Lytechinus pictus: one gene and its partners. The protein of the gene in region 1 purifies or fractionates together with the protein of each later gene. This does not show direct contact. Links are inferred from orthologs where the notes say so. Each region holds a gene or a part of one and is shown in the gene's direction. Other genes may lie near its edges.

Evidence for each region. Proteins that work in one complex are often made in the same cells at the same time.
Region 2: the proteins of replication protein A 32 kDa subunit-B-like (region 1) and DNA topoisomerase 3-alpha-like purify together in Homo sapiens (affinity purification with mass spectrometry; 4 studies listed by BioGRID and IntAct, with this or other methods). This does not show direct contact. The link is inferred for Lytechinus pictus from reciprocal best matches to the Homo sapiens genes RPA2 and TOP3A.
Region 3: the proteins of replication protein A 32 kDa subunit-B-like (region 1) and serine/threonine-protein kinase ATR-like purify together in Homo sapiens (affinity purification with western blotting; 3 studies listed by BioGRID, with this or other methods). This does not show direct contact. The link is inferred for Lytechinus pictus from reciprocal best matches to the Homo sapiens genes RPA2 and ATR.

What each region holds. Positions count from the first base shown.
Region 1 is NC_087261.1:4,470,696-4,478,545, forward strand, and holds the start of replication protein A 32 kDa subunit-B-like, read left to right. Parts: upstream 1-4,610; 5' UTR 4,611-4,789; coding exon 4,790-4,808; intron 4,809-7,815; coding exon 7,816-7,850. UniProt on the Homo sapiens protein: As part of the heterotrimeric replication protein A complex (RPA/RP-A), binds and stabilizes single-stranded DNA intermediates that form during DNA replication or upon DNA stress.
Region 2 is NC_087254.1:17,256,613-17,264,407, forward strand, and holds the start of DNA topoisomerase 3-alpha-like, read left to right. Parts: upstream 1-4,415; 5' UTR 4,416-4,512; intron 4,513-6,284; 5' UTR 6,285-6,713; coding exon 6,714-6,863; intron 6,864-7,453; coding exon 7,454-7,587; intron 7,588-7,795. UniProt on the Homo sapiens protein: Releases the supercoiling and torsional tension of DNA introduced during the DNA replication and transcription by transiently cleaving and rejoining one strand of the DNA duplex.
Region 3 is NW_026974140.1:6,100,379-6,108,284, forward strand, and holds the start of serine/threonine-protein kinase ATR-like, read left to right. Parts: upstream 1-4,526; 5' UTR 4,527-4,612; intron 4,613-6,177; 5' UTR 6,178-6,192; coding exon 6,193-6,281; intron 6,282-7,906. UniProt on the Homo sapiens protein: Serine/threonine protein kinase which activates checkpoint signaling upon genotoxic stresses such as ionizing radiation (IR), ultraviolet light (UV), or DNA replication stalling, thereby acting as a DNA damage sensor.

The sequences.
Region 1 (7,850 bases):
TGAAGGGAATATCATTGGCATGATATGAGCCAAAAGTTTTGAGGGGGCGCCAGACGTGCAAAATTGGCAAAAAGTTGCAATCGAGCGAAGACATTTTTTTGACAAAAATCTAATTTTGTGATAGATTTTGATATAACGTTCAGAAAATGATATTACATTTCACCCTTCTCTCTATTATTTTCTTGATCGTGAAAAATGTGGGGGTCTATGGCCCCAGCCCCCAACACCATCTTTGCGCCAGGTGGGGGAAATGGAAAGGAAGCTAAAATAATAAATTTACAAACAAAAACTTTAGCTCGGTTTCTTGCTCCGCACTAATTAATATTCATCTGTAAATTAGATTATGAGGATAACATGATGCTCAAAATGTTCGGGCAGGTCTGAATTTATTTGCCCTCCTAAAAGATTATTTAGCAGGGGCCACGGAAGCGGGGGGCTGGGGGTGCTTCAGCCCCCCACTTTTTTCCAAAACCATGTACAAAAACGTAAAAATGACCATATGATTGTGATTTTTTGGCTCAGCCCCCCCCCCCCCCCCCCCCACTTTGAAAACCGTTCCGCGGCCCTGTTTATGCATAACGGTTCTTTTCAGAAATTAGCAGGCGCTTCGCGGTCGCATTATTCACTTAGTTAGATAAATGACAAAAAGTGCTTATACTGGAGTAACTGAACCCAATGATCGAAGATCAGCTCGCCATTCGAGCTCTCATTGATCATGTTGTCTTTGTCTCATTGTTCTATTTTTTGTGATGAGGGCTACACGTGCAAGTGAAATTAATTGATTTCTGTTTGTATTCATGGATTATTCATCCATTATATTGTACAAATTTTGTCACGATAATAGGCCTACAATATAATTATTTTCGTTCATTTATCATATTGATGTGTATTTCATTTTGTACATGTATGAGAAATTGTAATTATCTCGATAAGGGTTCAATTGAGATCGAGGGTGAAAAAAGGGTTTCCCATAAGAGTCCTTATCTTTGTCCTTTTTGTGGAGCGTTGTGGTCTAGTGGATTAGTCTTCGGACTTTGAAACACCGGGGTCGTGGGTTCGAATCCTAGCTATGACTGGCCCTGGGAAGCGGGGTGGTGAATTAGTACCCCAAAAGTTTCCTTGGTGGTGCTGCGTGTATTATTTTTCACACTCAGCACCCCCGGGTATTCTTGAAGATTTGTAAACATGGAAAAATGTACCAAAAATGCCCCCTTATTATTTTAGTGAAAACTTTTTTGGGGGGCAAAACCTTTTTTCCACTTTCTTTTCAAATTTACATCACCCCCCCCTCCTGTAAAAAAAATCGTTCCCACGCAGGGCCCTGATGGCTATAATATGGCGTAATTTTCCTTCAACAAGAAATGTATTCACAATGTGCTGTACTCAACCCAGGTGAGGTTAATTGGCAGTTAAGACAATAATCTCAAATAATTGTGAGCACCGGAATCGGTAGACGAGCTTGGCCGGGGTTATAGGACCATAGGCGGCAGAAGGGGGGGGGGCGGGGGTCGTGTCCCCCCTAGATTTGAGGTGGGGGACCCCCCCCCATACAATTTCTGTTGATCCGAAACTTGTCAATAAGCTTGTCAATTTTTTCAAAAATTTCAGGTGGACCCCCTAAATTTGTTTGCTTCCGCCGCCAATGGTTAGGACGAGCGCCTTATTGAGTACGTACTAATTAGTATAGTAAGTACCAATCATGGTCGGCAAGTGGGCCGATATACCGAAAAGGTGACATGGCCTATATTATTGTTGTTTTCGGGTTCAGAAAGAACCAAATTCATTGTACAGTTGTAGGCCTTTATTGTTCACTGACTTTGTTTATAGTGACTTAGATCTAAATTCCTACACATCGATATAGTCCCCCTATATGATAGTCCTTAATCCTTGAATCATAGAAAAGGTAGCCTCAAAGGCCTTCATATTAATTTCTAGCGAACAATATTTATCTTTTTGAAGGTCTTTTTTCTTATCTGTTCGTTTCCTAATTCCCTTTCTCCGTCCTCCCCCCCCCCCCAATATTTCAAATATCATGATTGACCGGTGGCCGACCCTAGCTTGTGTATAGCACCCACTGATCTATATCACATAGAAAAACATAACTAATTTTTATCAGAAATATCTTGTTTTGTTGGAAATTATAGGAATGAAAAAAAATAATAATAGCCTTTACTTTTTTTTGTTCTTTCTCATTGATTATTATGGCTTACTATTACATGTATTATTGTTTTGTCATGTTTTTAGATGTGTGTTTATACAGGTCTCCTTGGTCGAGCAGTTTTTATAATTGAAAGGGGTTCTCTGTTTAATAAAACGACAAATAAAACAAACATTGTCCTCCTATATCCACCTCTTAGGCTGTTCTGTATTTTATACAACTCTCCCCTTTCCCCCCATATTCTTTTCTTCGCCTCTCCGTTTCCCTTCCTCTCTTTCTCTTTAATTTCTCCCCTCTCTCTCTGCCTCTCTCTCCCTCTCTCTATCTCACTTCTTTGTCTCACTTTCGATTTCAATATATTAATTGGAAATATATTTGACCCTCTCCCTGCATGTCCCGCGGCCTTATTTTTATTTCTTCCTCTCTTTCCATTCTTTGCCTTCCGTTCATCATCTCTCCTTTCTCCGATTTCCCCCTTTTTATCGAGGCGGGGGGGGGGGGGGGCGGGGCTATGGGACCCCTTTGGTGCCAATAGTTGGGCAATGACGCCTATGCTCACGGCCCACTTTTTTACTTGACATTTTTTTTTCGGCGCACCCCGACGTGGGCATATTAATATGACCTGTAGCTCAGAAACTTGGCGTCCAGGGCAGCTTAGGTGCTTATATAATATTGCCCCCTCCACATAAATAATTATTATAAGGTAGCTAGCTGCAAGTAAGAGTTAAAAGTCTTTAGATAACTTTTTCTACCTATTTGGCTTTCTTTTCCAGGGCGGTTTTTTTGCATGTGCCCTGAGGGCCGTGCGATTTTTTTTACTGGGGGTGCTGATGTAAATTTGAAAAGAAAGAAAGAAAGAAAGAAAAAAGGATTCAATACAAAATGGAAGTCAAATTGGTCCCGATCGAGAAATTTGAAAACAATACAATAAAAACAAACAAGGGGTTTCACTACACTAAAAATCAAGGTCACTTTGGTTACATTTTTCAATTTTGTTCACATATCAGCTTCCAGAATACCTGGGGAAGCTGCCTATGAAGAATTATACACGCAACACCCCAAAATAATTTTTTGGGTGCTTAATAAGCACGTAAGTACCCCGGCAGGCTGCAGGGCCATGCCTGTGCCCCTATTGCTTGCACTTTGCCCATCCCGGGCCCATCTCGCCCCATCGGTGAAATGAGCGAAAACTTTTGAGGGGGTCGATCTGCAGACATGGCAGAATTTCTGAGAAGCTGGAAGGGGCGAAGCGATCGATGGAAAACACACACACACACTCACACACTTGTCTTTGTGATAATAATTTTGTGACAGATTTGGACAAAACAACTTTCCTCCCCGCGCTCTCTCTCTCTCTCTATCAAAATATATGTCTTTTTGTAAACGAAAACCAAGATTTATATTTTGGGCAATTTTATACATTGTATGATTTCCGGATTCTAGACTTCTAATAGCTAGGAGTACACCGGGGGGGGGGGGGGGGGGGCACTCACTAATGCATAGTGGGTATGTGCCGCGGAGGGGACCCCCATTTTTAAACTCAAATTTCCGTTCCAGGGCATAGCATTTTCATCTTATTAAGAAAAAGAACTATAAGAAAGCCGCTCCGAAAAGCATAGCATTTTCTTCTTATCGAGAGAAAAGAAAAGAAGAAAGAAATCCGCTACAAAGCTTCGCATATTTTTCGTTACGCCGTTCCGGTCGCATTGATCCGCCACAATGAGCTGCCATTTTGGTGAAAAGCGGCCGCTGAGCGCTGTCCGACCATCGCCTCTGCGCGAACCCGTTCCAATTAAGGACCCCCGTTTTCACAAGCATTTGTAGTTCCGAAGCCCGCTCCGAGGACCCTCCTTTTTACAATAAGTCCGCTCCAAGGTCCCCGGTTTTTGTCTCGCCCGCGGCACACACCTACCAATTTTTTGGTCGAGCGCCCCCCCCCCCCGGGGAGTACACCAGATATTTCAACCCTAGCTAGGCTACACGTACGTAATAGGCCTATGCCCCCCCATATTTCGTTATTCAAATTTACTTCATCAGGGGCCGCGGAACGGTTTTCAAAGTGGGGGGGGGGGGGGCTGACCATGCAAAAAATCACAATCGTATGGTCATTTTTACGTTTTTGTACACGGTTTTGGATTTAAAAAATGGGGGAGGGCGGGCTGAAGCCCATGCACCCCCCCCCCCCCCCCCGCGGCCCCTGTTCATGAATATCCATCTTAAATGTACGGTATGTCATTAGTAAACGCATACAAAGAACTGGCTTCTACCTCCATGGTTTTACCCAACGCTGGAGAAAAAACAAAATAAAAACAAACAAACAAAATCCCGAGGTGATTCCCCGGGTGATTTCTCATGACTTCCTTGTCTTGCTCAACCGGCCGTGCATAAAGCATGCAGTGGGTGATTCGCGTTCGTAGCAGGCCGATTTCGCTCGCTTCATGTATTCCCGATATACAACAAGCCCTCTGATTGGTCAATACCAAGATTCTGGCGCGCCGTCTCCAAATTGTACTTGTGAACGGGTACGGTTCTGTGAATGTAAATTGCAACCACACTGTTTCCAATCGGAAAAAGAAGAGTTCCTTCTCTGTAAATAATTATTAATATTTGGATCGAGACTTCTCTTCGAATATGTTCAACAACCAAGGAGGTAATTACACCGTCGGCCTTAATTCATAATTATCGTGAAATATATCTTAATTCTTATCTCTCCTCTCGTGATCGAGTCTGTCAATTGAAATTTGAATGTGCAGTCGTGTGTGTGAGTGTGTGTGCTCTCACTTAGACTTAGTTAGAGAGCTTAGACTTTAGACTTAAGAGTTTTAACGTTAGACTGAGACTGAGTAAAAATGATTGGCATTATCGTGAAATTGGGAACCAGTTCCTAATTTCCACAGGACACTTTTTCACGACAAGACATGACCCACCTATCTTTTCGAGCTTGCTCACTGCTTCACCGCAGCTCAGCTGGCGCGCTGATTCTAAATAAATCGAATCCTTCAAAGAGCTTAACGTTAGTGACTTAGTCTACTCTTACTATTTTAGTTAGATCAGAAAGATTGATTTCGTCGCTGTCTTTTCTCTACTCGCCAAAATGGGAACCAGCGTGGAAAACTCCCCCATAGAGTTGTACACGCTGGTTCCCATTTTAGCGAGTAGAGTAAACAAGTTTACTCGCTGAAATGGGAACCAGCGTGTACAACTCTATGGGGAGTTTTCCATAGAGTTGTAGGCGCTGGTTCCCATTTTAGCGAGTAGAGTAAACTAGCTTACTCTACTCGCCAAAATGGGAACCAGCGTGGAAAATTCTCCATAGAGTTGTACACGCTGGTTCCCATTTCAGCGAGTAGATAAAGACAGATTACTAGTGATATTTATTTCGTTAGTGATGATTCTCTGACGAAATAAATCTGACTAATAAACTGTCTTTATCTACTCGTGAAAATGGGAACCAGCATGTATAATTCAGGAGAATTTTCTTAGATGGTTCCCATTTTGAAGAGTAGATAATATATAAAGAGAGATTGCCAATGAGATTTATTTCGTCAGTGATGATTCTGACGAAATAAATCTGACTAATAAACTGTCTTTATCTACTCGTGAAAATGGAAACCAGCATGTATAATTCAGGAGAATTTTCTTAGATGGTTCCCATTTTAAAGTGTAGATTAAACTAGTTTACTCTACTTGCTGAAATGGGAACCAGTGCGTACAACGCTATGGGGAATTTTCCATAGAGTTGTACACGCTAGTTCCCATTTCAGCGAGTAGAGTAAACTAGTTTAATCTACTTGCCAAAATGGGAACCAGCGTGAAAAATTCTCCATAGAGTTGTACACGCTGGTTCCCATTTCAGCGAGTAGATAAATACAGATTACTAGTAAACTGTCTTTATCTACTCGTGAAAATGGGAACCAGCTATGCTGGTTCCCATTTTGCTGGTTCCCATTTTCACGAGTAGATATAGAGTTTATTAAAGTGATTCATCCCCATATATATCTTGTTTGTGATTTTTAGTAAATCAATTTTGTAATCATTTTTTTTCAACATTGTGAAAGTGGCAGAGTGGTCTTGAAGAGCAGGGAAATGCGGGGTAGATGGATATAATTACAAAAATTATAATTCAGCGGAATCATCGATGTCATCTGAAAACTTGTCCACCCATGGGTAACTGAGCCCGATAAATATCGCATGAGGAAAGAGGTTACCAGTTGTGTGAGGAGCTTCGCATCGTCAACAAAGCCTCTCGCATCAATTCTTTTCAAAATCGCTGAAGCGAAGTTTCTTTACATGTCGTGGTAAAAGGAGGTACAAATTCGATTTGGTGACCAGTTCCCAAAAGCACGGAATGGCCAAATGATTTACTAACGTATGCCCCCGAGATTTCTACTTTCCTTCTAAAAGATCAAGTTAGCCCTAAGTCATGTACATGGGATACAACTTCATTTCCGACATTTCTACGATATTGATTTCATTTTTAAACAATTCAAGACAAAAAACAAGAAAAATGTAATAAAAGACAGAAAACTTGCCACCGTGTTTACGTCGCCTTCTTGATTTCATTGTCTTTCGCTTGGCGACAGTACACAAATCGCGCGGTTTGCTACACAAAGCCAGGAGGCTTCTAGAGATTAAAATCATTTACTAACGTATGCTTAAAAAAATGAAAAGTCGGGGGAGACTCGCCCGATGTTTACGCCGCCATCTTGTTTCCTATATTGTTCTTCCCCAACTTTACAGACACGCGCGTCAGTAAAAATAGATTACGTCAAGTGACCTCAATTCCCCACAGTTCACTATCTATTTTCCCCTGTAAACTGGGACGATCCCAATTTTCTGACCACGCCTCTACTGGCTACCTCACCCTCTTTGATTAGAGTCTGCTGCTTGAATCCCCCTCTTGATAGGGGAAACAGCACGCCAGAATAGTGAAAAGGGAGAGAGTTCTTAAGTCTTATTGAATCTGGGAAGAAGCTCAACTGGGCGTTGTTGCGTGTGCCTGTAATCCAAGCTACAAATTAGTTACAAATTGATGCATAGGTTCGAGGTTTGAGCCCTGGTCACGTCTTTCGGATGGTGACGTTAAGGTCGGTCCCAGACGCAAATAATCATATCTGATAGATACATGTCTGACAAAACTCAAATGCACACACACACACACGCTCTGGTAGACAAGTGTTCTGGCAAAGGGAGCAAAGCTCTTCTGAGAATGACCTCTATGCAACGATGTGGATAAGCTTTAGATTGAAGAATAATTATTACCTGTTGACTGTTGTGAACATGAATGTTTCAGCTCTTGGCTGCTCATCATAAATCATGTAAATTCTGAATGCACAAAAATTGTAAACCTCTACTCCAATAATAGCTGTAGTACCTAGTAATAATCCTCCTTGTCACATGACACTAGTAGTTGTATGTTACCCCAGCTAAGCTACATTTTATCTACAAAATCCAGGTGAACAGCTTTTTGAGGAATTCCTGTCTACCCATTTTACTCACCTAGGTTGAATGCGGCACATTGTGGATCAATTTCTTGCTGAAGAAATTACCTCATTGCTGGGATTCAAACCCATGACCCTCTGTCTCAAAGTGTGAAGACTAATCCAACAAAATGTTCCACAATTTGTAATTATTTTGTCTTTTACTTTTTTTGTCAGGTTTTGATGGATATGGTAATGACCATGGTGGAATG
Region 2 (7,795 bases), on another chromosome or scaffold:
TTCATGAAACTTGAACATAATAGTAATCAAGTATTACTGAACATCCTGTGCAAGTTTCAGGTCACATGATCAAGGTCAAAGGTCATTTAGGGTCAATGAACTTTGGCCAAATTGGGGTATTTGTTGAATTACAGCCATAAATTTGAAAGTGTGTTGGTCTAGTTCATAAAACTTGGACATAATCAGGGGCGGAAATCTCTCCCAAAAGGTAGGGGGGACATAGGGGCGGATCCAGCCTGCGCCAATAGAGGGGGGGGGGGGAATTTGTTTCAGCCATATTTTCCCCGATCGGCAGCACGAAGATGATTTTTGTTTGTTTCTTTGAAGGGGTAGTCCTCATGAGTCACTTCTTAGCTTTATTCTTATAAATTAATATATAATATCATAATCCTTATTTATATGATGCGAGCGCGAAGCGCGAGCTATTTTTTTTGGAAATTTTATGTATTTTTTCCTAAAATTTGAACTGATTCTGGGCAATGTTTGTTATCCTGAAAAAGATGTGTATGCAACTAAATAATTACTACGAACGCAACGCGCGAGCAGAATGAACTGATGGAAAAGATACCTGTTAAAGTAGCATTTGTCAATCAAATAATGCGAGCGCGAAGCGCAAGCTGAATTTTTTTTGACATTTTCACCTAAAGAATGGAAATTCTAAGCACTTTTTGTAATTCAAGCAGAATAGGTATATAAGTAAACAATTAATGCGAGCACGAAGCGCAAGCGGAAAAGTTTGACATTTAGTCCTATAATAGTTTTGTAAATCCTGAAAAGGATGAGTATTAATAATGCGAGTGCAAAGCGCGAGCAGAAAATTTTTATATACGTTTTGAACTGGTACCTGTTGAAAAGGTACCTGTGAAGGACTGCTTGCACTTAGCCATGAAGGCGTTACATATTCCAACAATAAAAAAATGCGAGCGCGAAACGCGAGCTGAAATTTTTTTGAACTTTCTAAAGAAAGAATGGAAAATTTTAATCAGTTTTTGTAATCGTGAACAGGATAACTATATAATTTAACGATTGATGCGAGTGCGAAGCGCGAGCAGAATTTTCTTCGAGATTTAGACCTAAAAATGGGCCACTCTGTTCATGTTTTGTAAATCATCAAAAGTATGAGTAATATGGAGTCTTTCTACATTAATAATGCGAGTACAAAGCGCGAGCAGAAAAAAATTGATATTGTGATCTGAAACTGGATAATGATTTAAATTAGAGAACAAGTTGAGTATCTGAATAAACTTGCGCGAGCGTGTTTCATATTTAGACCTAGAATCTAGGCATTCTAAATACAACTTTAATCATGAAAATCATGAAACTTTGATATTCCGATCTGAAAAAGAGTCAATTTCAGCTTTATATTTGAAGCACTTTGTAGAAAAATTGTAAGGTAGATATGGATCGCACTAAAAAAAGAGCTGATATTATTATTACTTTGAGTTTTGACATAGGACCGGGACATCCTTACGACATGTCATCATATGAAAATGATGACTATCTTCCTATTCCTCTTGCTAAGCGCGAGATGAAAGAAAAGGGACAATTTAATTATTAAATTAATATCATATTTATTAATGCCTAATGAAGGCGCGAAATCTGATGATATCATGGCATAAAAACTGGACATTTCACTTTTTTTTATTATGAATAGGATGCATCAGTTAATATATTTTTAACCATTAATGCGAGCGCAAATCGCGAGCTAAAATTTTTGATAAACTGTCATGAAAGGGGGATTTTAAGCAGTTTGTTGTATAATCAATATTGAAACATTTATATAACTCGCCAATCAAAATGCGAGCGTACAGCGCGCTAGCTGATACGTCTTGACAATCAGACCTGAAAAGGGATATTTTGACAACTTTATGGAATACACGAAAATAATAGGTACCTGATAAATCAAAATTTGCGAGCGCGCAGCGCAAGCAGCAAATGTTAACATTCTGACCATAAAACTGACATTTTTACAGAGCACTTTTTAAAAACCAATTTGTAAATTACACAAATTAATGAAAGTTCGATTTCCGAGGTGAAATATGTTTTGTATGTTGACTTCCAAACTTGATATTCGAACTCCATATTGAACAAGATATGTAAATCACCTAACAGGCAATGCGAGCGCGAAGCGCGAGCGAAAATTTTATATAGTGGCACGAAAGATTATTTTTGTTTTCCAAGTCTTCCCCTCATCTTATGTTATGCACTCGTAGTCCTTCTTTTCTTTTTCTCCTCTCTTTTCCCTCCTTTTTTCCTTCTTTCTTTCCCTTTTTTTTTGCTCCGCCAAGAGGGGGGGGGGGGGGGGGCGGGCCCCTCGGCCCCCTAGATCCGCCTATGGGGACAAGGGGCGGGACAATTTGACAAGCAAAAAAAAGGTTATCATCGCCAAAGTAAGGTCATCTCTTCCCAAAATACATGTTTTATTTTTATTTAGAATAATGTATTTCTTACCATGATAAAAGACCAAAAAATAGTAGGGGGGACATTTGATATTGTGTCCCCCCTAATATTTTGAGTAGGGGGGACACGTCCCCCCTGTCCCCCCTGGGATTTCCGCCCATGGACATAATAGTAATCAAGTATCACTGAACATCCTGTGCGAGTTTCAGGTCACATGATCAAGGTCAAAGGTCATGTAAGGTCAAATAACTTTGGCCACGTTGGGGGTATTTGTTGAATTGCCATCATATATATCTCTATAAGTGTATTGGTCTAGTTCATAAAACGTGGAAATAAGAGTAACCAAGTATCACTGAACATCTTGTGCGAGTTATAGTAGTTTTCAAAATCAGCACTGCTGCTATATTGAATCGCGTGATGCAGGTGAGACGGCCAGAGGCATTCCACTTGTTTATTTTGGTTATTCCATTTTACTTGGGTCATTTCATTTCTTTTACTTTTTATTTTTGTTATACGGGCTATTCCTTTTTAGTTGGGTTTTTCCATTATTTAGATCATTATTTTAGTCCCTTTTATTTGGGTTATTCCATTTTATTTGGGTTATTCCATTTTCCTTTTACTATTTATTTTTGTTATCGGGGCTATTCCATTTTAGTTGGGTTATTCCATTATTTTAAATCATTATTTACGTCGTTTTTACTTGGGTTATTCCATTTTATTTGGGTTATTCCATTTTCTTTTTACTATTTTTTTTTGTTTTCAGGGCTATTCCATTTTAGTTGGGTTATTCCATTATTTAAATCATTATTTTAGTCCTTTTTTATTTGGGTTATTTCATTTACTTGGGTTATACCAATTTCTTCTTACTATTGATTTGTACTTGTCTTTTTACTATTCATTTTTGTTATCTGGGCTATTCCATTTTAGTTGGGTTATTCCATTATTTAATCATTATTTACGTCGTTTTTACTTGGGTTATTCCATTTTATTTGGGTTATTCCATTTTCTTTTTACTATTTATTTTTGTTTTCTGGGCTATTCCATTTTAGTTGGGTTATTCCATTATTTAAATCATTATTTTAGTCCTTTTTTATTTGGGTTATTCCATTATTCTAGTCCTTTCTTATTTTGGTTATTCCATTTTATTTGGGTTATTCAATTTTCTTTTTATTATTTATTTTTGTTATCTGGGCTATTCCATTTTAGTTGGGGTTTTTCATTATATAAATCATTCCATTTTATTTGGGTTGATCTATTTTCTTTACTATTTGTTTTTGTTATCTGGGCTATTCCATTTTAGTTGGGTTATTCCATTATTTAAATCATTTTGGTACTTTTTTATTTAGGTTATTCCATTATTTAAATCATTATTTTAGGCCTTTTTTATTTGGGTTATATTCCATTATTTTAGTCCTTTTTTTTATTTGGGCTATTCCATTGTACTATATCTGACTTCACTTTTGGTTAAACTCATAATTTCTATAAAAATTTAGGTATCATAGTAAAATATTACATTCGTTCATGTACAAATTGATGAAGTTACAGAACTATAGCTCCTGCGCACTTCAGTTTTTTAGCTTAACTTATGAATAATTCATGTACCATAGCACCCCTAGCGTTTCCATGTAGGCCTATACGGAAAAAATAATCGCATCTCGGCCGCCACCCCCACCACAATTAGTAATAATAACAAACATAATAATTATAATAATAGAAAGAACAACAACAATAATAATAATAATAATGAAGATGATAATAATAAGCAATAATTATATATATTTTTAAATCTTTAAAAATATATAGCCACAGGGTGTTGCAAATTGGCACAAAACAACCTTCAGTATATTACCGGTAGTGTAAATTATAATTTACACTAATAATGATTAATATGTAAAATAAGTTAATCAAAAGTGTTCAATATATATAATACAGTTTTTGTATTATTATCTATTTTTTAAATCTACTTTATTTATCAAAAACATCAATAATTTCAGATTAGAGGTATTATTTTGAGTAATCATGAAATAGTAAATGGCGGCTTAATCAAATGGTGAAGACTACGGTACCGAAGACTACACTGCAGCTCTCGCTCGGTCTCATACGGAGATACCGGTAATGTTTGATTGGGTTTTAACACTTTTGCCATCAATTTATCAGTTATTCAAGATGTTATTACAATGGTATTTAAAGAGGATTAGTCTACCTAAGTCACGTCAAGACGTCTCGTAGGCAGCTAAGTTGAATTGAATCCGACCATCGCATCGCGCGTTACTATCTGCGGCGGCCGGCGCCGGTGTACCGGTACCTACGCGTCGAACGTCCGTAGCCGGGCGAGCTAGGCGTGGGCCGTACTCCGGCTCGGCAGCCCGTACACAAAGTGGCGACTTCCCCGGGGCTAGTGTAGTCTGCTGTGCAAACCCTTAATTCACTCGAGAATACGTATGGACTATGGTAGGGTGTCCTAAAGCAACGCCACACTCATCGCGCATGCAGTTTTCAATGGCAAATGAGTCTGTGTGTGGTCACTGTGGAACTGTGACTGCAGTGCTGCAGTGCAGAGCCAGAGACAGAGTCAGAGAGTGACGAACAATTCCTACAACTACAAGTACAGACTACAGGTCAGGTGTATTCATTTTTTTTCAACAGAGCCAGTGCCCAGAGGCTGCAATAAATCTCTAACAAGTTAAATGCAGAGAAAACCAACAACTGTTTGGAATTTCGGAGTTATATTCGCTTTATTTCATAATCATATATCCTCAGATCCTATAATAATGTGAACATATTTTAGAAATTGAAGCACCCCCACAGGAAATACTAATTTTTTGCATGATAAATCGAGTGCGTTGCTTTAGGACCCCGGTTCTACATCAGGCGGCGAAATCAAGTCCGTCCATTAACTTTTCCTTGTAAGTGCAATAACTTAAGTTAGGCTCATATAATTTGGTGTGTATGATGCTAGCATGGTCATGGATCCAAGGAAGCCTATTGATTTTGAGGTCAAAAGGTCAAGATCACAGTGACATACTTTCATCTTACCCTTCTGAAGTCCTTGTAAATGTGATAACTTTAGTTTAACTTAACCTAGGCTCATATAATTTGAATGTGTATGATACTAGCTAGCATAGATCCCAGGAATTCTATTGAGTTTGAGGTCAGAAGGTCAAAGGTGAGGTCGCCACCTTCCACTTTTCTTGCTTGACCAATAACTCAATTTTCCGCGTTGCAGGCGGGCATATTATGTGCTGGCCTTAGCGTTACTCTTGTTGTTCCTACTAGACCTTCAGTGCCAGTGGCCGTTGATGTAATATTGTTATAGTAGGACTTTTCCACACCCCAATGATCTAGGTATCCCATATCCTTTTTGTTCGGCCCTCTCATTCACAGTGGGCCTGTAACAAGGTTGATGAGCTGCTAGTTACTATTTTTGATGTCGGGAAAGATCAAGAAAGAGCACGGCCATGATGAGATGTATGGTGATAACACTCTAGCTATTTGTAAATACCTTGGGAGATAAGAAAAGATAAAAGATGAGAATATTTTCAGAATACAACTTATCTCATTCATGCATAATTATTTTCTTATCTTTTAGCATGCTCGGGTATTAGATCTACATGAGCAAGTATACTTACCACTGGTTGAAAATCCAGAAAAGATAGGGAAAAGAATAACGTGTCCTTCGTAGGAATTGATTGCCATTTGTATTGAATTTATTACCAACATTTTTTTTTTTTTTAAACTTATCAACTATTAACTTGGTTTCATAGTTGGTTATTGAGAATACATGAAGCTCTCCATATAGATGACACTTCTTGACCTGGAAGTTCTGAAGAATGTCCATGGTGTTCCTTTTACCCAATGTCCTTTTCCTCTTACGATATGTGCAGGAATTCTGATGTCTGGACATGTTTGTATGGAATATGCAATGGATTTCTATTTCTCCAAAGTATTTACCTTGATTTACCTTGATGTTGGGCATAAAGTATAGGAGACTTATTTGCCCCTCTGCATCTTCTTAGAACTTGTCCTCAGTTATATGGCAAGATCAAAGTCCTTCCGTCAACAAATCTTGTGCATCCGCAAGCAACTTAGTCTGTTATGGAACCTGTATCGCTTTTAATTTGTCAGGATTCGTGGTACAGTGATCTGTGAAGGCAATACATTTCCAGTATTTTACTTCTACAAATTGCATTGGAATGCATAGAAGACAAATGAAATGATAAATTCCACCACCGAACAGTCCGCGTGAGCTGGGGTACATTGTAGTTGGCAGAATTATTTGGGTTATACCTGGACATTTAAGGATTTCCCATCCAATGTTAATTTGGACGAATTGCTTGAGGATATCTTTGTGCACCTACCTCACTATGGCACGGGGACATGCAACCAAGGTTCTGAATGTAGCTGAGAAGAATGATGCTGCCAAGTCAATTGCTGATGTCATGTCTAGGGGCAGATACAATAGGGTAAGTTTACAAAATCTTCTTTTTTTTTTTTTACTTTTACAACAATTGATGAATCAAATGGATTAGATTTTTTTATTTCCTGATAAGTTTCAATGATTTCAATCTAAGCCAAATATTTATGAATTGCCAATAGCAAAATGTACTTTATCAAAGGTATTTGGCCTAAATTAGTTGCATACATGTAAATGTTATTCTAATGGTAATTATACCATAATGGTAACTTCATCATTAAGGGTAAATTTCATGGAATCCTTAATTCACTGATTGTCTTTTGAGCATTGTTACCATGGAACATATAGTTACCATCAGATGGCTAAACAGAAAACATTGAGAAGTGAAAAAAAAAATTGTTTCGACATTTAAAAATCTGCTTATGAGGAAAATTCTTTTAATGACCAGCCAGAGTTAATTGATGAAATTAACTTCATGAATTGAATTTTTCATCTTTTGTGGATATTTCTATTCAGATGAAATCAATTTTCATGGTATTTTTCATAAATCTGTCAATACATACATACAATAAAAGCACACATTTTTAATTTCTCTTTCACAATGTTCTTGGATTAATCATTTTTTAATTCTTTTTTTAGAGAGAGGGTTTCTCAAAGTTCAACAAGATATATGAATATGACTACAGTCTACTGAATCAACAATGTGAAATGACCATGACATCTGTCTCGGGGCATCTCTTGAACTATGAATTTGCTCTAGCCTATCAGAAATGGTAAGACTTTGATTTTAAACTGTAAAAGTAAACTCTTTTTGTTACCTCTTTGTATAATTAAAATAATCAGCACCTCCAGGATAGATTTCATGGAATCCTTGATTTATTGATTGGCTTTTGAGCAATGTTTCCATGGTACATGTACCATTAGATAGCAAAAAAGAAACTTATTGAAAAGTGATTTATGATTGATTGTGGAAAACATTAG
Region 3 (7,906 bases), on another chromosome or scaffold:
ATGAAAATAGATGTTTTCTATTTTCTTATTTGGCCTTGATACATGTATATAGAAGATTAAACAAATGATTTTCAAGAATTTCAATTTAAACCACTGAATACATTTAGCAAACCTTGGGTTGTGGACTTATTAATATTGATATTAATTGAATTTCCCTTAGACAGCGCCTCATCAAACAAATGCAGTTGGGGTCAGGGAGAGTGGGAGAGACAAAGGGAGAGAGGGTAGAGAAAGAATGGGAGCTGGAGAGAGGGGGGATAGGAAAGGGAAGGAAAAGAAAAGGGATGGGGTAAACAATTCCTGTTTCACCTGCTTCGACAACCTGCTTCCTGTTTCGTTTTTATTTATTTGATTTGATTTATTGATTTCCATTTCACAATTGTACATAATATGATAAACATAACAAGGTCGAAAATACTACAAGACAATATAATAACATAATCATAGATTAAAGGAACACAATTCAGTAAATAAAGTTATCTCAGATGACATTTGTGTTTAAAAGTAAAACGGAGGGTCTTGCCAAAAAAAGCAAAGCTAGTACAAAAGGCAAGCCCCTAACTTAGTTTCATTACAAAATTACAATAAAGAAATATTGGGTCGTAATAATATACAGAAATTTTCTTTAAAAATAAATACAATTTTTGTGCACTTTACATAAACGCAACTGATGGATCGTGTGAGAAAATATATTGTTTTACAATACTAGAGAGGGGGGATGAGGGGGAGAAGACAGGAAAGACAGAGGAGTGCAGTGTACACTAAGTAGAAAGAAAGAAGGCAGGCAGCAGGAGCAGGTACTTTCACTAATTGCAATTTTAAGAAGAAAAAAAATAAAACAAATAATATACATGTCTATATGAGCGCATATAATACACAAAAGCCGAGTATAATTGAAATAGTTATTCAGCTTGACCTGTTTGCAACGAGTATTCCAGAATTAACTTTTTTTTCAGTTTGCATTTAAAAATATTTACATTAGGGGATTCTTTGAAATCTTGCGGCAGAGAGTTCCAATTAGGCAGGCCCGGAGAAGGGGAGAAGACAAATGAATTCTTTGCTAAAGGAAAGTGATAATATTGTCGTTGCCTTGTTGGGTAGCAGTGTACGGATGCATTTTCACGGAACATAGAGAAAATCGCGGGGAGATCGTCCTTGTTTCATTTGAACATAAATTGACTAAGTTCGAAAATATATATGTCACTTACTTTGAGAATGTTATTTTCAAAAAATAAGATATCAGTATGTGATTTAAAGTGTGTTTGAAAAATTATTCTTAGAGCTTTTTTCTGGAGAAGTAATATTCTATTTAGTTGTGTTTGTATTGCACATCCCCAGGCAATTATTCCATAATTAATATATGGTAGAATAAGGGTGTAGTATAATGTTAAGTGCGGGAAGGGAGAACATGTTTGAGTTTATCAATAATTCCAATGTTTCTAGAAATTGTTTTACCTATATACTATCAATATGAGGCTTCCATGATAATTTGTTGTCAATAAGGACACCCAAGAATCTGGTAGTGGAAATATTATTAAGAACGATATCAAAGAAAATACTGTCTGGTAGAGTATTGATTTTTATTGATTTTATTACTGAAAAGCATGCAGTTTGTCTTCTGGTGATTAAGTGAAAGTTTGTTGGCCTTGATCCAATCTGTAACATTTGTTAGTTCAAAATTTACGATTCTAACGAGTTGGTTAATATCATCATGGGAAAAGAAAATATTGGAGTCGTCAGCAAAAAGTATAAACCGTTTAAACAATCATGTTTAATTTATTGAAGATTAGATATTGAAAATTAAACTTTGTTGCTTAAGATTTAAACACTTGTTTAAACTGTTTAAACAATTACTGTAAGCTTCATATAGTAAACAGCGTTGTGCAATTTTTTTTTACTGTGTACGCCAGGATATTATTACCTTGGTTTTAGCCCCGCAGCCTTTTACAGCGCGATGGCATTTCAAGGAATAAATTTTTGCAAGGTACGTACCCATTTACATCACCTCGGTTGAGTGTAGCACAATGTGGATAAATTACTTGCCAAAGGAAATTACGCCATGGCTGGGATTCAAACGCACGACCCTCTGTTTCAAAGTCAGAATACGTTAATCCACATAAATATAGAGTGTATACAAGACATTTGTATTTACTGAATATAATACATTTGTACACTGTACATAAACAACACTGAAAAATGAGTGGATGCTTATGATGAAAGTCAAACATTGTAACCTGGCGCTTATAAACTATAATGTATGTATATATCATATGAAAGAAAAGTATAGTCTCTGTTTTCCATCGAGTTGCAAATTTTTGATTAATGATTATAATTCATAAAGTGTGATAATGCATATTTTTATACCTATTTGTGAACATTGAAGCGTAACTCACAATGCTTCAATGATCATGACCTATTTCTTATTTTTTCTGAGAGATGAGATGACATGCTTTCATTTCATATGAAATTCAAATCCTTTTCACCCGTTTTATTAATTTTGACAGGAAATGAAATATTAAAAATGAATCTGATTACACCCCTGTACAAAAGTCAATGGGACAACAGCAGACAGGGATCAATTCGTTTTATATCGTTTATGAAATCTGAAATATCGACTGGAATATTAAGAACTGTATATCAAATGGGATCAAATGAAAGCATATCATCTCATCTCTCGGAGGAAAAAAGGAAAAGGAAATATACCATGATCAATGAAGTGTTGCGTGCTATGCTTTAATAATCACAGCAAAGTCTAAAAATATACATTGTTGCATATTCATAATCATTCATGCATGACTGATCACTATTTTAAAGTAGTTGCAAAACAAAGGCCATACTTTCTTTTCCATTTTTATATTCATTTTGACAGGAAATGAAATTTGAAAAATTAATCTAATTACACCCATTTACAAAAGTCAATGAGGCAACAGCAGTTAGACATCAATTAATTAAATCGTTTACGAAATCTGTAAAACCGACTTAAATATAAAAAATTGTATACCAATTAAATGAAAGCATCTAATCTTTTGAAAAATAGGAAACTTCATAAAGCTTGCTCATACCCCAAGCATGCCCCAGCGACCATTTAAACTCAGGGGCCGCGGAACGGTTTTCAAAGTGGGGGGGGGGGGGGGCTGATGATGCAAAAAATACAATTGTGTGGTAATTTTTACGTTATTGTACACGTTTTTTTTTTTTAAGTGGGGGTTGAAGCCATCCAGCCCCCCCCCCCCCCCCCCCCCGTTTCTGCGTTCCCTGCGTTCTATTCAAAGTTCTCCTTCTCACCTACAAAACTCTCAATGGCCAATCCCCAAAATATCTTACAGATCTCATTTCCTTATACGCTCTAGTACCTCCTCAAGACCTCTCCGTTCATCGTCTACAATGCAGTTAACTCCTGGACCACGAACCTCTACAAAGTATGGTGACCGCGCTTTTTCTTCAATTGCCCCTTCCCTTTGGAATAAGCTCCAATTTTTTTAATGCCAAATCTGTGAATCAGTTTAAAACCCTACTCAAAACCTACCTGTTTAATAAATGATTCACAGTTGTGGGTCGGTCAATTGGAGGTGCACACCAGTTTTGATTTTTGATTATTAGTATAGTTGTATTAGCTGTGTCATTTTCCCCTGCCACATTTTTTTTTTATACCCAAGTACAAACCACAAACAGAACACAATGCACTTAGAAACACCAGTAGTAGGCGCCAAAATGTTGTGTATTATTATCATTATTATTCCGCGGCCCCTGAAACTAGCTAAAAAGAAGGGCGGGTGGGGGATCTTAGGTTCATTAGGTCTCAAAAATTAAAACTATGATCCAGAAAACTATAGTCTCGCATGAAACCTTTTCTATATGAAGCTGGATATTTTTTGTTTTGAAAATCGTTTTCAGATTAACTCAAAAGTGTAAACATTTTTTAGTGAAATTTTTCAGGAATTTATATTCTTGCAATGTGATATTGGAATTCATATTTTTCTTGAGACTAGCAGGGAACATAAAATTTGGTTCTTTAAAAAGAATATTGATTGTTATTAAAAATTCCTTTAGAATTCATTATCAAGCCAAATTGTGCACTATAACTTTTTTTCAGCTTATTTTAGAAATGTCCAAAGTTCGTAGACATTGATGGATCGGGGCGGGGGGGGGGGGGGCATTTCCGGCCCGCGTGCCCCCTGTGGTGCCCCCCTTGAGAGTTATAGTCATAATTTTTATAGTAAATATGTATTTTATACACAAGTGCGTCCCCCTCCCCCGCTTTTAGAGCCACATCCGAATATTTTTATTGGGAATTTGTCATTTTTTTAATTGGAATATTAAAACCTATTTATTTTTTTATTTATTTTATTTTGCTGTCAAATTATACGCGGGACAAATCGGTCTTCATTTTTTTAGAAAACTTTTTATTGGTCAAATTTTCCTTAGGGAAAATGTGCCCCCAACCTTTTGGGAAAATCTTGGATCTGCGCGCCCCCGACCGGTCTCGAGTTACATTTTTTTTTAATTTTTACTTTTGGACGTTTTAATTCGGCGACACTGTATTGTCGCAAGATTCAACGTAAAGAGCGGTAAAAATGCAAGAAGAAGTTTGGGATTTTCAGAGAGAAAAAGTGTAAGAATACGAAGTTTTACAAATCGCTTTGAATTGATGATAAAAGAGAAAATGATAGATAAGTAGATAGAATTTAGAAGAATAGGTGACACGGAGATTGGAAAATCTAATAATCTTATCCTAGTTTTGCGGTGCCTTTTTTGGTAGTCCCATCTTGTCAAATTCATGTCCAGTTTAACACAACAGAGAGAGAGAGAGAGAGAGCGCCCACGGGCACGGCCCACTCAGTCAAGGTTAGATTTACATGCCGCCGCATAGCTGTACTTATATTTTTCAACAAATTTGACCAGCAAGTCAATGATGTGAATGCCTACTTGCTCTTGTTATGAATCAATTTATACAAATAGATCTACAGGTCATACAGCACGGACATTTCTAAAAACGAAAAAAGTAAACTGGTTACTAATAGTCCTACAATTTTACAAACACTGACAAAACAAAAGAAAAAAGTCAAAATACAGACATCTTGATATTCTTTTTCCTTTTCCTACTCCTAGTCCTAGACCTCTATCTAACATGTCTAACGTTATAAACTAGGCTTATTGAAGAGTTGGGGATCACAGTTATCAGGGTAGGAAATACAATAATATAATTTCTTTCCCAACATTGTGGGGATTGCTAATTTAAACTTAAGTTAAAGCCTAAAGGAGCATTTTCTTTCATTTTAAGAGTTACATTTTTGTGCAACAAGTATTAGTAGTTATGCTGTGAAAGCATTTCTCATTACTCTGCTGTATGTAGAAAATCGGTTCTAAACTTCTTGAAAGTCCATCTTGAATGTTTGTGGTATATCTTTGATGGATATCTTTGAGGATGGTTGCCCCAAAGCCACTCACACGTATTGCGAGGTTAGGGAGGCAGTGTAGCTCAGTCGGTTAGAGCGCCTGTTCCGGAAAAGATCGTAGATCTCAACGTGCGTGGGTTCGAGTCCCGCAGCATGCCGGAAGACGTCTAACAAAAAAAACTGATGCTAGCGTTGTGTGTTAACGTGCCTCACCGCTGTGTTCAGTGCGGGTGTGAATGCAGTTGGAAAACACTCCGTCCATCGGAAAGGACGCAAATGTTGGTCCCGTGTATAGGAGAGTCACAACCTATGCACGTTAAAACCAATACACTATTCGTCAAAGAGTAGGGTGTTCACCCGGTGTATTGCACCTGCCGGTCCCCGGTACTACAATACTGCAAGAATCTTCAGGATTGAAGGAGGCAGTGTAGCTTGAAGAAGTGAAGAAGAAGTATTAGTATACTAACCTCGCACCACGAACCGCGTTTGGCAGTGGATTTCTAACTAGTGGGTCGCGCGTGCTGGGATCTCACTTCATGGGTCCACAACACACGACTTCTATGGCTTGATTTTTCTGTGCGTGGCGGCATGTAATGAACCCTTGGGTGCCCCAAAGCATTCAATTTGGGGGATTTTAGGGGCAACTTGGGATGTCATGAGGGCAAAATCTCACATCGCCCTCATGCATTTCCTACGCTGACAGGTACATGTATGGTTTCCATCATCAGGTATTTAAGATAAAAAAGAATTATTATTTTAAACTTTGTCCCTCTTGTTTCAGATAATGTGAAGAAAGATGGCTAGTTCTGTGCAACAGGATGGAGTGGCTCATCCTGTTCTAGAAGATTTGAAGAAAGAAATCAGCCAACTCGGTAGCATGCAAGTGTAAGTTTATGCTAACATTGATGTCACCAAGCACATTGTAATGATGGTAGGAATAGTCACACGAGGTTTTTCCACAAGTAGTTAGGGGAACAAAAACGAGTTAAGTTTTAGACATTATCAATATCAGGACATTTTCTTTGTGTGAAAATACATCCCTGTAGTGACAACACTGGTAAATGGGACTCAAAATCTCAGAGTCTACCATATTTTCCGGTGTATAAACAACACCTTTTTTCCCGCTTTTAATCTTGAAAAATTGGGTGCGGTTTATCCAAAGAAACAACAAAATTTCATAAGTAAAATGTTTCTTCGGTAGTTAGAGTTAGCAAGAAACCAAGAATTATATACAATATTTAATGTATAATTATTTGTTGGTTACTAAGATTGGAGAGTATATTTTGCGAAGTTTTCTTTGAAAAATCTTCTTTGTAAAGGTTGTTTTATATTATTTATTTAATTACTATCAATTTGATAATGTTTTCCTAAGAAAAACCTGATTGTTTTGTGATAAAAACTTTTTTTTCAGCTAAAAATGCATGGAAAATGCTCTTCAGTAGGCATGTAATCATAATCGATCGTAATCGTAATCGGTTATTTAAAAAGGCAATAAATAATGTCCTTCATTCTTTCTCTCAATATTTTAAAAAATATCCCTTTTTATACCATAATTTTGATATTAAAAAATGCCATTTTATGGTCTCCTTTTCCTTAAAAAAACCCTGGTTGTTTTGTAATGAAAACTTGTAATCGTAATCGGTTAGAAAGCAGGCAATAAATAATGTCCTCTATTCTTCATTTTTTCCCTCAGTTTCTCTCAACATTTTTTGTTCTTTTTCCCTTTTAATCTATAAGTTTGATATACAATACTGCTATTTCATGGTCTTTTTTTCTTTATTCTACAAAGAAATAATTTACATTCTTTGAAAAATAAAGTTAAAGAATGGAGTAACCATTTTTTAAAATACAAAAATTATTAAGATATCTTTTGATCTTTCATAGATTTATATTGAAATTGGCTAACCCAAAATAAAAAAATAAAAAATTTAAAAAATCGGCAAACCAAATTTGATATTATTTTGAAAATAATATCAAATTTGGTTTGCCGATTTTTAAAATTTGTTATTTTTTTAGTAATATCAAATTTGGTTTGCCGATTTTTTAAATTTGTTATTTTTTTAGTCTCTCGATTTTGGGGGTGCGGTTAATACACGGCTGCGGTTTATATTCCGAAAAGTATGGTAGTCATCAATTTCTCAACCTATCATAAGTATAATGTCTTGGACAACCCATATGAAATATGGGCTGTACAGTACATTCCAAGAAAAAATGAAAATTATTGCTGTTTTACCATAATAATGCTGATGATGATGATGAAAATAATATGATAATAATGAGTAATGAATGACTCACATTTCCAAAGCTACATGTAAAATTCTGCTGTGTTATACTTATTTGATGTTTCTCATATGCATTTTATAAAGGAGTGAGTAAAAAAAGTTGAAAAAAGGCACCAATTTGCAAATAGTCATTTGGCAGTCTGTTTCTGAATTTTAACAAGAAGTGTTACATTTCTAAAGATTTGATTTCTGCTCTTAGACAAGTGCTAATCAGTCAGTCGGCAAGCC